2 linked regions of the Drosophila melanogaster genome follow. The protein of the gene in region 1 interacts with the protein of each later gene in a pairwise test. Each region holds a gene or a part of one and is shown on either strand. Other genes may lie near its edges.

The links.
Region 2: the proteins of CG31760 (region 1) and Tmx3 interact in a two-hybrid assay, tested with the Drosophila melanogaster proteins (one large-scale study listed by BioGRID).

The regions. Positions count from the first base shown.
Region 1 is NT_033779.5:12,140,736-12,145,855, reverse strand, and holds the start of CG31760 (uncharacterized protein), read right to left. Parts: upstream 3,077-5,120; 5' UTR 3,023-3,076; exon of another isoform or gene 3,001-3,022; intron 808-3,000; exon of another isoform or gene 787-807; 5' UTR 590-786; intron 1-589.
Region 2 is NT_037436.4:16,227,146-16,231,646, reverse strand, and holds Tmx3 (Thioredoxin-related transmembrane protein 3), read right to left. Parts: upstream 2,548-4,501; 5' UTR 2,347-2,547; coding exon 2,307-2,346; intron 2,243-2,306; coding exon 2,004-2,242; intron 1,947-2,003; coding exon 1,323-1,946; intron 1,266-1,322; coding exon 876-1,265; 3' UTR 508-875; downstream 1-507. Other genes in the region: PDCD-5 (programmed cell death 5), read left to right, coding at 59-173, 231-454; l(3)72Dn (lethal (3) 72Dn), read left to right, coding at 3,020-3,156, 3,227-4,501.

The sequences.
Region 1 (5,120 bases):
AGAAAAAAAAGGTGAACGAACAGCCAAACGCATACACTCAAACCGCTAAGATACATCAATATTTCTGGACAGAATTCGTAGCATACTTTCCAGGGTCGCCAGACGCGTTTGAGCCTTAAAGCCATTTAATTTTATTACACTTTGCGGACTTTAAGAGTCAAATGGCGGTTAAATGCTGCCTCCGTCGACAACCCCAAAACCCTCAACGAGTAAATAATTCAAGGGATTCAATTATGTACAATAATTTTGTATATGCTTCACATAAAATGTATATACTACATACACGCACAGGTTCTCGAAGGTCTGGGCTAAATTTAAATCTCTAGAGTGGTGGTTTCGGGTCTCATTTTGCTAATACATCTGATGAAATGGAATATCTATGCCGTACTTTGGGGAGCTGCTTCATGTTGTTGAATGAATTATGAAAATTGGGTTAGTTGCGTTTTACTCAGCGAACATGGGAAAATATTGCAAAGGAATAACGCGCAGCTTCAATATAAAAGTATAACGAATATATTTCTGCTTAGTTTATGCATTGCCTAGAGTATCGCTTACTCATCACTTTTCTTATAACTAAACATTTACTTACCTCCTTTTTCCTGAAAATCAAATCATGACTCGCACTTTCTATTGCCTTCTGCAAAATCAAAGACGTCTGATTTTCAAGCGTTTTTCCTTTTGTATCAGTTATCACTGAGCCTGTTATTTTCACTTCATCATCTCCCTCCACTTTAACGTTTCTTTTATTGTTTGGTTTTATTCAATTTTGTTTGTAGCTGCTTTCTTCTGTGTGTGCACAAATATTTAAATACATTTTTAGAAATGCTATTGGCTTTTGCCAGCTTTTGAATATTTGGTGAATGTCGCTTTGGCTCGTTATTGTTGAAATTGGCTTTATTTCAAGTTATGCAATGTTTGCTCATCGAGTTTATGTGTTATTTGTGTCGAGTTTTTTATTGGTTTAATACTTAAGAAGTGTAACGAATATTTGTGATTGCTATTCAAGATTCTCGAGTGCTTATACTTTATATAGTGTTAATGTTGAACAGTTCTGACTCACAAGTACCATTTTAGAGAATTCAAATTTCAATTTAGAGTCATAACTCATGTCTAAATATTTGCGTACTTGTAAATTGGAGGACGCACTTTAGCATAAAATATCAATGTCAAATATTACAAATATTTTGATTAAAATTCCTTCCTTTCCTTCGGTGACTTGCAATTATTTGCCAACTTTATGCCAGTATTCTAGCAATTTTGAACTTAGCATCCGTGGAGCTGAGCACACATTATCGTTAATAATTAATGGAACTAAAAGTTTTCTTCAGCCCACAAGGACAACGGAGGAAAGTTGCTGCACAAACTTTCTGATGGGACGGAAAAAAAAAGAAACTTTTAAATACTCTTAAAATTTGCCAAAAGCAAATCGCGGAAGGAGTACATTTGTTGGCTAGTCTTTCGTAAATTCCCTACAGCTGAGCTGATATATTCATGAATATTTATTAGGCGTGAACTGTCGGTTATTAAAAAAATTAATTGATGCTGCTGTATAACCTGTTGCCGCCTCATGAAGGCAGAAATTTCCATCGGTTTGCCCGTTGGCAGAAAAGTTAATTACAATATTTCATTGCTCAGACGTTGGTGGAGGGGCGGGTGCGTTGTAATTTTTATATCCAACAAATTGCCAACAGCGCATTAAACACAAAAGTACAAAAAATAAAAAGAGGAAAGCAAAATTACACAAAAGCAAAACTGGTCCAAAATGCAAAGCAATTTGTAGTAAATAAAAAGCGGAATGCTGAAATGGCGCGCAAATACGCAACTCAAACAGGAAGACCAACTTTTCACGCCCCCACAACAAACACCCGTATAATACACACATACATATACGCCTATGCGTGTGCGTGTGTTTGTGTGTGTGTGTGTGGGCGCTCACACCGAAGCAATAGGCACAGATGGGGCCAATACATTGACATTGGGCACACGGGGGACTTTGATTTTCATGACCAAGGGAAAGCGAGACGCCAAGAAGAAGACAGCAAAGTGCTGGAGAAAGCAGTGGAAAGTTGTCGTTTCTCCTTTGGCAGGCAGAAGGCTGAATGCTCTTAGCACACCAACGTTTTGAAAAGGTGCAACTTGCAAGGACATTACAGCGGTCAGAACTGCAAAATACGAAACAAAATGGCTGAAAAAGTTAGCCCTATAGCCTAGGATCTTTACTTTTTAATGATCCAAAGTTTAACTGAAAGGGCAAAACTGCTTGAAATAATTAATTACTTTCAATGAGTCGAATGTTTTAATTCTCATCACATAATTGCTACAGTATTTTTCACTTTACTTTGATATGAATGTACTTCCTATCTAATTATATGTTTCTAAATAGGCACAGAGTAAAGGAGTTCTTTTGAGAAATTTATATATTTCTTGTGAACAATACCTAAATATATTCGAAGTAGTTATTCTTTTAAAGCAAGAGTTCCAACACATTGGAATTACTTAAGTGGATACATTATGATAAATAGGAGTGCAAAGATCTTGCGTTTGCATAAGACTGCAAAAGCAACTTGTAAGTAAAAATCAGAGGCAGGCACACCGTTTTCTGTCTAGGAGAGATTTATGTATTTCTTAGGTTTTTTCTGCCCTTTTCTCCGTTTCACTTCTTGTATTTTTGGGCAAACGCCCACGCGGCGCCAAACTGCGCAGTCTGCTCTGCTTGATTATTCAACAGAGTTGATATCAAAACACATTCTTGTGTTTTATTTAATTGCAGTCACTAAATTGAATAACGTTGATAGGTTTTGGAATTTAATATATATTAATTATACGAAGCTGCGTTTGTTTAATTGGCATAGTATCTATGCTTTGGTTTTTATTTATGCCAAGCATATTTTGGATGATTTTTTAATAATAATATTAAATTTTAAGCAGTCATCGTCTTATAGTTTCTTTTTGACAACAAAACACTGAGGCTGAGGCACCCACACAATCGTACACACTCACACACACACTGGCTTTGTTGTACCGTTATTCCGCTATGGCACAACCGACACACTCGAAACTCCGCGACGAACTGTCCCGTTATCCGTGGCTCCTGCTGAAGGAAAAGGAAAAGTTCGCCTGGCTTCGTGCTTTTTCGCTCTCTCGTGTGCTTGCTTTCTCTTTCTCTCTGTTATCAATTTGATTTGATTTCGAACCGAGTCCTCGCACAATCTGCCTTCGCTTGCGCTTGCAACGGTGACTGCGTGCTCAAGGATGTTCGCAAAATTCACCACACTTGTCGCTCGCTCGCAAAGACACCTGTAGTGTGAAAGCTTTCGTTTTGTGCCAGTGTTGTCATGCCAAAGTAAACAATTAGCTTACATCAATTTGTGTCCTTGAATGTACATTTAGTTTCATAAATTGCATAATTTTGTTTAAATATTTTTACGTATCTAAACAGCAACTTGCTTGTTAATATTTATTACATTTTTTATTTAAGCTCTTTATATTATAGAGCAATTTTAGGTAGGGATGTAAATTCCCATTTAGGGTCCTTCATGTCCTTGTGTATATTTAACAAACTGAATGGGGTCAAGCTTACCCCAAATGAGTTATAAATAAGTTATGCCACCGTTGAACGCACTGGAATACTATGTCCAGGGAACTCCTTTCCCCGAAAAACCATTACGTTTTCATCCTCAATTACTGATGCAACAGAAACAACCTGTTGACATTTGCCTGCTTGTGTTTACCGTTTTTTCTGACACAGTATTTTCCCATGCACATCCACCGCATTAAACGCTTCGGTATAAAATTTGCTACCGTCTAAATGAACTCTTAAAAGTGCTCTGACATTTCACATTGCCGTGCAGGGGTCACGTGGCTCATGTCGAGCTTTTCACTGAAAATAAATCTACTGCAGTTGCAGTTCACTCTATTATAAAAGTCAATTATTTCGAGAAACATAGACTGATCAAAGAATAAATATAATATACAATTACAAATTAACCACTAAATTAAGAGAAAAGATACAAATATTCCCCTTCTATTATTTTTTACGGTGAACTTTTGTAGCTGCTTATTTTTTCCATTGAAGAAGCGACCATTTTAACTTGAAGTCCGACCTCTTTTAACCTGACCCGGCAACAGTTGACGTAATTTGCAGGTAATATGTGTGTTGCCTGTTGCTTCTGTTTCCAGCCACTTTACTGACCAGGACAGCCACATTTCATCCGCTTTCTCCGCAGGCCCTTGTGTCTCTTTATTCATTTCTCCACCATGGAAGGGGGATTCGTGTGCAAACGAGCCAATCGAGCCATATATTGATTTACGTGTGTGTTCTAGTAGCCAGTGAAACCAGGCACACAGAAAAATCGCATAAACTTTTTAATTAGTATGTCCACTTTTCCTGATTGACAGTTTCATTGATATGTGTACATACTTTTTTAATTAAATGAAACGGTGAAGCGAACCATACCTAGTTGTTTGAACACTGCTTACTCTCTGTTAAGGTACTATTATTTTTTAAATAAAAAAAACTTATTTATAAGAATTAAAAAGTTTTTAAATATATTTATATTATTATTCATCTCTCATAATTTCTTTATAGCCATATATTTTGCTTATATATTTTAGGTAATTTTATTTTTCTTAAACCACGAAATAGCTTTCAGTGCACTGATAAAGTGTGTAATGTGAAACACGCAGCGTGTGTAAGAAAAAGAGACAGAAAGTGTGACAAAAAATCAATCGAACGCATACTCCTCGCACATAATGTGCAATTAATTGAGTTTCCCTTGACACTCAATGGTGCTCGATTGCCCCTCTTTTCCGTGAAAATAGATTGAACCGCACCCAAATGTAATTTACAATCTAACCTCATTCCGGTTGGAAAATTTTGCATAGGAAAATGGGAGAAGAAACATATTTCTGCACACATTTCCGGTGCACTAAACGTGATTGAAAGCGGAAATTGCTTCATGTCCTTCTTTTTCTGCCGTCGAGCATCCTTCCTCGTTCCCGTTTTCACTTTTCCACGAATCCCGCGACTTCCGTTCGCTGGCCACAAACTGTGGACTGGGCGTGGAATAGAGGCCCTGACTGATGACTGGCAAATCGGGTTTCAATTGACATTTGATAGA
Region 2 (4,501 bases), on another chromosome or scaffold:
CCTGTTTCTTTAAAGGGCAATCCTTCAATGACCTTAACTCCTTTTTTCCTATTTTTAGGGCGGCGGCAATGATGCGGAAAAGCAACAAGCCCAGCAGGAGCAGATGCGCGCCCAGGAGGAAATGAAGCACTCGATATTATCCCAAGTTCTGGACCAGCAGGCCAGGGCACGACGTATGTGGATCTAGACCTTGAATATCTCTAGCTAATAACTTATAAAATATCATTTAGTTAATACCCTCAAAGTCAGCAAGCCGGAGAAGGCGCAAATGTTCGAGAACATGGTCATCCGCATGGCCCAGATGGGTCAGGTGCGTGGAAAACTTGATGACGCCCAGTTCGTCAGCATCCTCGAAAGCGTCAATGCTCAGATGCCGCAGAGCAAGTCCTCCGTGAAATACGATCGGCGGCGGGCGGCCATCGATAGCGACGACGACGAGGATTACGGCTGCTGATTCGTCCGAAATTCCGCCCAACATCTAATTTAAGTTATGCCCGCTCCTCACATCCGCTAAATCATGTTTATTACTTTTACTAACTTAAAACGAGAAACAAAACTAGATGCCCAAATACGTATGGACTTCTTTGTGTCAGATGGCGAATCTTAAAGCGTATTGGAAGTTCGTGCCAAGCGGCAATGACATACACTGACATAGGACTAGATTTGGCTTACATTTATATGCGGTAGAAAAGTGGTCTAGAGGAGGGGTGGGGTCTTCTACGACTTCTTATAGGGATTTATCATTTCATATTCTTGTATGTTCCTAGCTTTTTATGATCTTGCTCGGAAATGCACTATGAGATCATCTTATTTACTTTCTCTAACATTCACTCGCAATCAAAAGCTTTCACTAGATTCATTTTTAAGTTATCCCTTTACTCCTTCTTCTCGTGATCTTCATCGGGATCTTCTTCTGTGACCAAGCAATCGCCGCAGAAAATAGAGTACATGATGAGCGATAAGAATCCCAATGGCAGGCCGAAGATGACAGTGGTCAGCACGGGATTTCCCAGCCACATATCCCTTAATGCTCTTCGCACTTCGAACAGTGCCCGATTCAAACGTACAAAGTACGTATCTCCTCCATAGGCAATGGCACTTTCGTTGCGGATGGATTCTAGGAAAAGGTGCAGTGCCTGTGGAGTCATTTGCATTGGATCATCTTCGGGTATGAAGTGGTGTTGGGTGCTCGAATTAATCGCTATCAAGTGAGGCGTGGGCAGTTGATCCAAGATAATGGAATGTGCTATTGATGGCTCGCCAATCTGAAATGGAAATATTGATTAGCTCCAAATCGATAAAACTATGATAGAATCACTTACCCATCCAAATTGGAATTTGTCATGATATCGCGCCCTATGCTTTCTTATCACGCCCTCCACCATGTCCCGAAACTCCAGCTCATGCGTGGCTATCTGATTGAGCTTATCCTCCTGTACCACAGCCAAAACCAAGTACTTGTTTGTCTTGAGCAGCTGGTGGATGTTGAACCGAGTGACCTTTGGGAAGAGTGTGAACCTCTCCACGTTCACCCATTGGAAAACGGTTTCGTTCACTTCATTGGGGTCCATTTCGTGCGCCAAATGCCCATGCGGATAGAAGTGGTGCTGCTCTTCTTTGTAGACAATCACCGCTGGCAGTTTCTCAAAGTCAAAGTGTTGGGCAGCGATATCCTCGCTGGTGGCATAGAAAAATCCATGCTCTTGGTAACCTTCAGCTGCAGCATAGTATGTATCCCACACCACGCCCTCCTGTTGGCCTACGAAAATGAAAAATATCGTATGGGATCCCTTTAGCATGTCCACACTCTCCGTTCGCGTGACCAGCTGAACTGGAGGCCCAGACATCCTTAAGGCATAATCCACCAGCTCATCGCGACCGCGGTCTCCGTTGTAGGTGAACTCCATGTTGCCCTTGATGAACATAATGGTGGGATAGCCACGAACCTGTAAGAATTTGGGGATGCTTATAAGGAACTTGGACCAAATATGGTATATTCTCACCTTGAACTCCTTCGCCGCCGCCGGATACTTGGTACAATCTAGGCGACCCACTCGAACGTTGGTGGCATGCAAAGCCTGAGCCACCAGAGCAAAAATGGGCTCCGTTTTCTTGCAGTAGCCGCACCACGGGGCATAGAACATGACCAACCATTGGCCCTCGTGTCGCACATCGATGAACCGGTCACTGAGCTCCAAAACCTTCGAGGATAGCCCCGTCGAACCCAGAGTCAGAAGCAGAGCTGTTGGTTTTGTAAATCATTTAGCATCAGCTTGGATTTTTTCTATTGTTCGTAATTTATTTACCACTTATGAGGCCGAAAATCCACATAGAATTTGGCGACATCCTTGCAGCAGGTTTAATTTGTACTTCCAAGTGTAATTTACGTGCCCCTTATTTGCTATATCATGCTTTCCGTTATTTTAATAGCTTCTTTACTTAATTTAATTAGTTGATTGGTTTAATTTTCAGTTCCAAATTATTTTCCTTCGGACCACAGCAACAACAAAAGAAAACATTTGCAAAAACCACCCCCTTTAGACTGACCAGATGTGGAAAATATCCAAAATACTTAAGGAGATACTCTTTAGTCCAATGCGTAAATTGAACAAGTTTATTTATTAATTTTGTAGTTGTTTGGATTATGTTTTTAAAAGATTATTGAACTCAAGATTTTCATTCTACTATAACCTTAAAACTAAAATGAATTCGAAATAAAAACTAATTAAATTTTTTTATATGCATCTCTAAGAATTTATCTTTAATAATGACATAGTTAATAATTACATTTATAAAAGAATTTTTAATTTTGAAAATAAGTTTTTGAGCGGCCATAGAGCGGCTGCCTAAGGGTTAATCTGGTATATTTTTAGTCAGATGGCAACTCTTCAGCTTTGTTTACCTCACAAAATAGACTATCTGGCAACTCTTAGGCACACACGTGCATCTCCAGAGGAATTTTGTTTCAGTTGTTGTTCCTTATTTCTTCTTAACTAAATAATTGTATTAACTAAATAAAATGACGAATAATGCGAAGAAGGAACCCCAGCAAAGGGGCAAGCATCAGGTGCATAATGTGCGCTTCTACACTATAAAGCCGCGTGAAATTGTCAGCTTGGCGTATAGTAAATCGAGCAAGTGCCTCGCTCTGAGTCGGTAAATTATTGAAAATTAAAAAAAACCTAATAATTACTGTGCAGTAAACTAATAAGTACACTCTTTGCAGTGCAACACCCGTCATTGAGCTATGGAACCTGGAGCACGCCCCGTATTTGGATCGTGTAATCCACCTGCCCACCGATTCTCATGTGGAATCTATAGCCTGGGCGGGAAACCGCTTATTTTCCGTGGATTTAAGTGGTAAACTGATCGAGTGGGATGTGATTAAGCTAAAACAACGATATGAGCACTCGCCCACTGGCAATGCTCTCTGGAGTATCGATGTGAATCCCGCGGAAACGGATATTGCCATTGGCTCAGAGGAAGGGCACATCAACATCCTGAGTATTGAGAATGACGAAATCACCTATAAATCCCTATTTAACAAGCAAAAAGGTCGCGTTCTCTGCATCAAGTTTGATAAGACTGGAACTAAACTGGTGACCGGCACTGAGGGATTTGTTCGCATTTGGAACGTCCTCAAGGGAACCACTCTGCACACGATGACCCTATCCGAAAAGAACGTAATAGTTTGGTCCCTGCAGGTGCTATCCGATAATACGATTATTGCCGGTGATTCAGCGGGATTTGTTACCGTTTGGGATGCGGATAACGCGACACAGATAGATTCCACACGAGTTCTGGATAAAAACGTATTTGCCCTGGCTGTGAATAATAAGGAGGATCGATTAGTTTGCAGTGGAATGCAGCCGCCGCTCATCCGGATTTTCAGCAAAACCAAGATAAAGCGGGAAGAGTCCACCAGCGAGCGTTGGATTAAATTCCTACAGCGCGATGCCCACAAACACTATGTGAAATCCCTGTTGGTTATCGACGATCAAATTTATTCGGGAGGCAGGGATGGCATATTGACCATTACGTCCAGTGAACGAATGCAGGCACATTTGTCGCAGCATGCTCCCTTTCTGAAAGGTTCCGTAGCTTCCATGGCAATCAGTAAAAAGCTTTTGCTTTTGCGATATCCCAACAGCGTGCACCTGTGGCGCTTGGGTTCTGTGGCCCCGCAAGGCGAGGACAAGAAGAAACCCTGGGCACTGCCCGTCGGCCACACGGAGGAACAACTTCTGGAGCTGCCACCCCAGAAACTTCTCCAACTAAATGTCAAAGAGCACAACTTTATACAGTCTGCTGCCATTTCATCAGATGCAAACTGGATTTGCTACTCTACCTTAAAGGAACTCCGAATCAGTCGTTTGAAAAGTGATCCCCTGCAGGTGGAGCGTCTGGTAGACGATCTTCCCGAGGAACTTCAACCAGCCAGTCATATAATTTTCACAAAGCAGGGAGATCTAGTGCTGCTCAACCCGCAGAACAATCATCT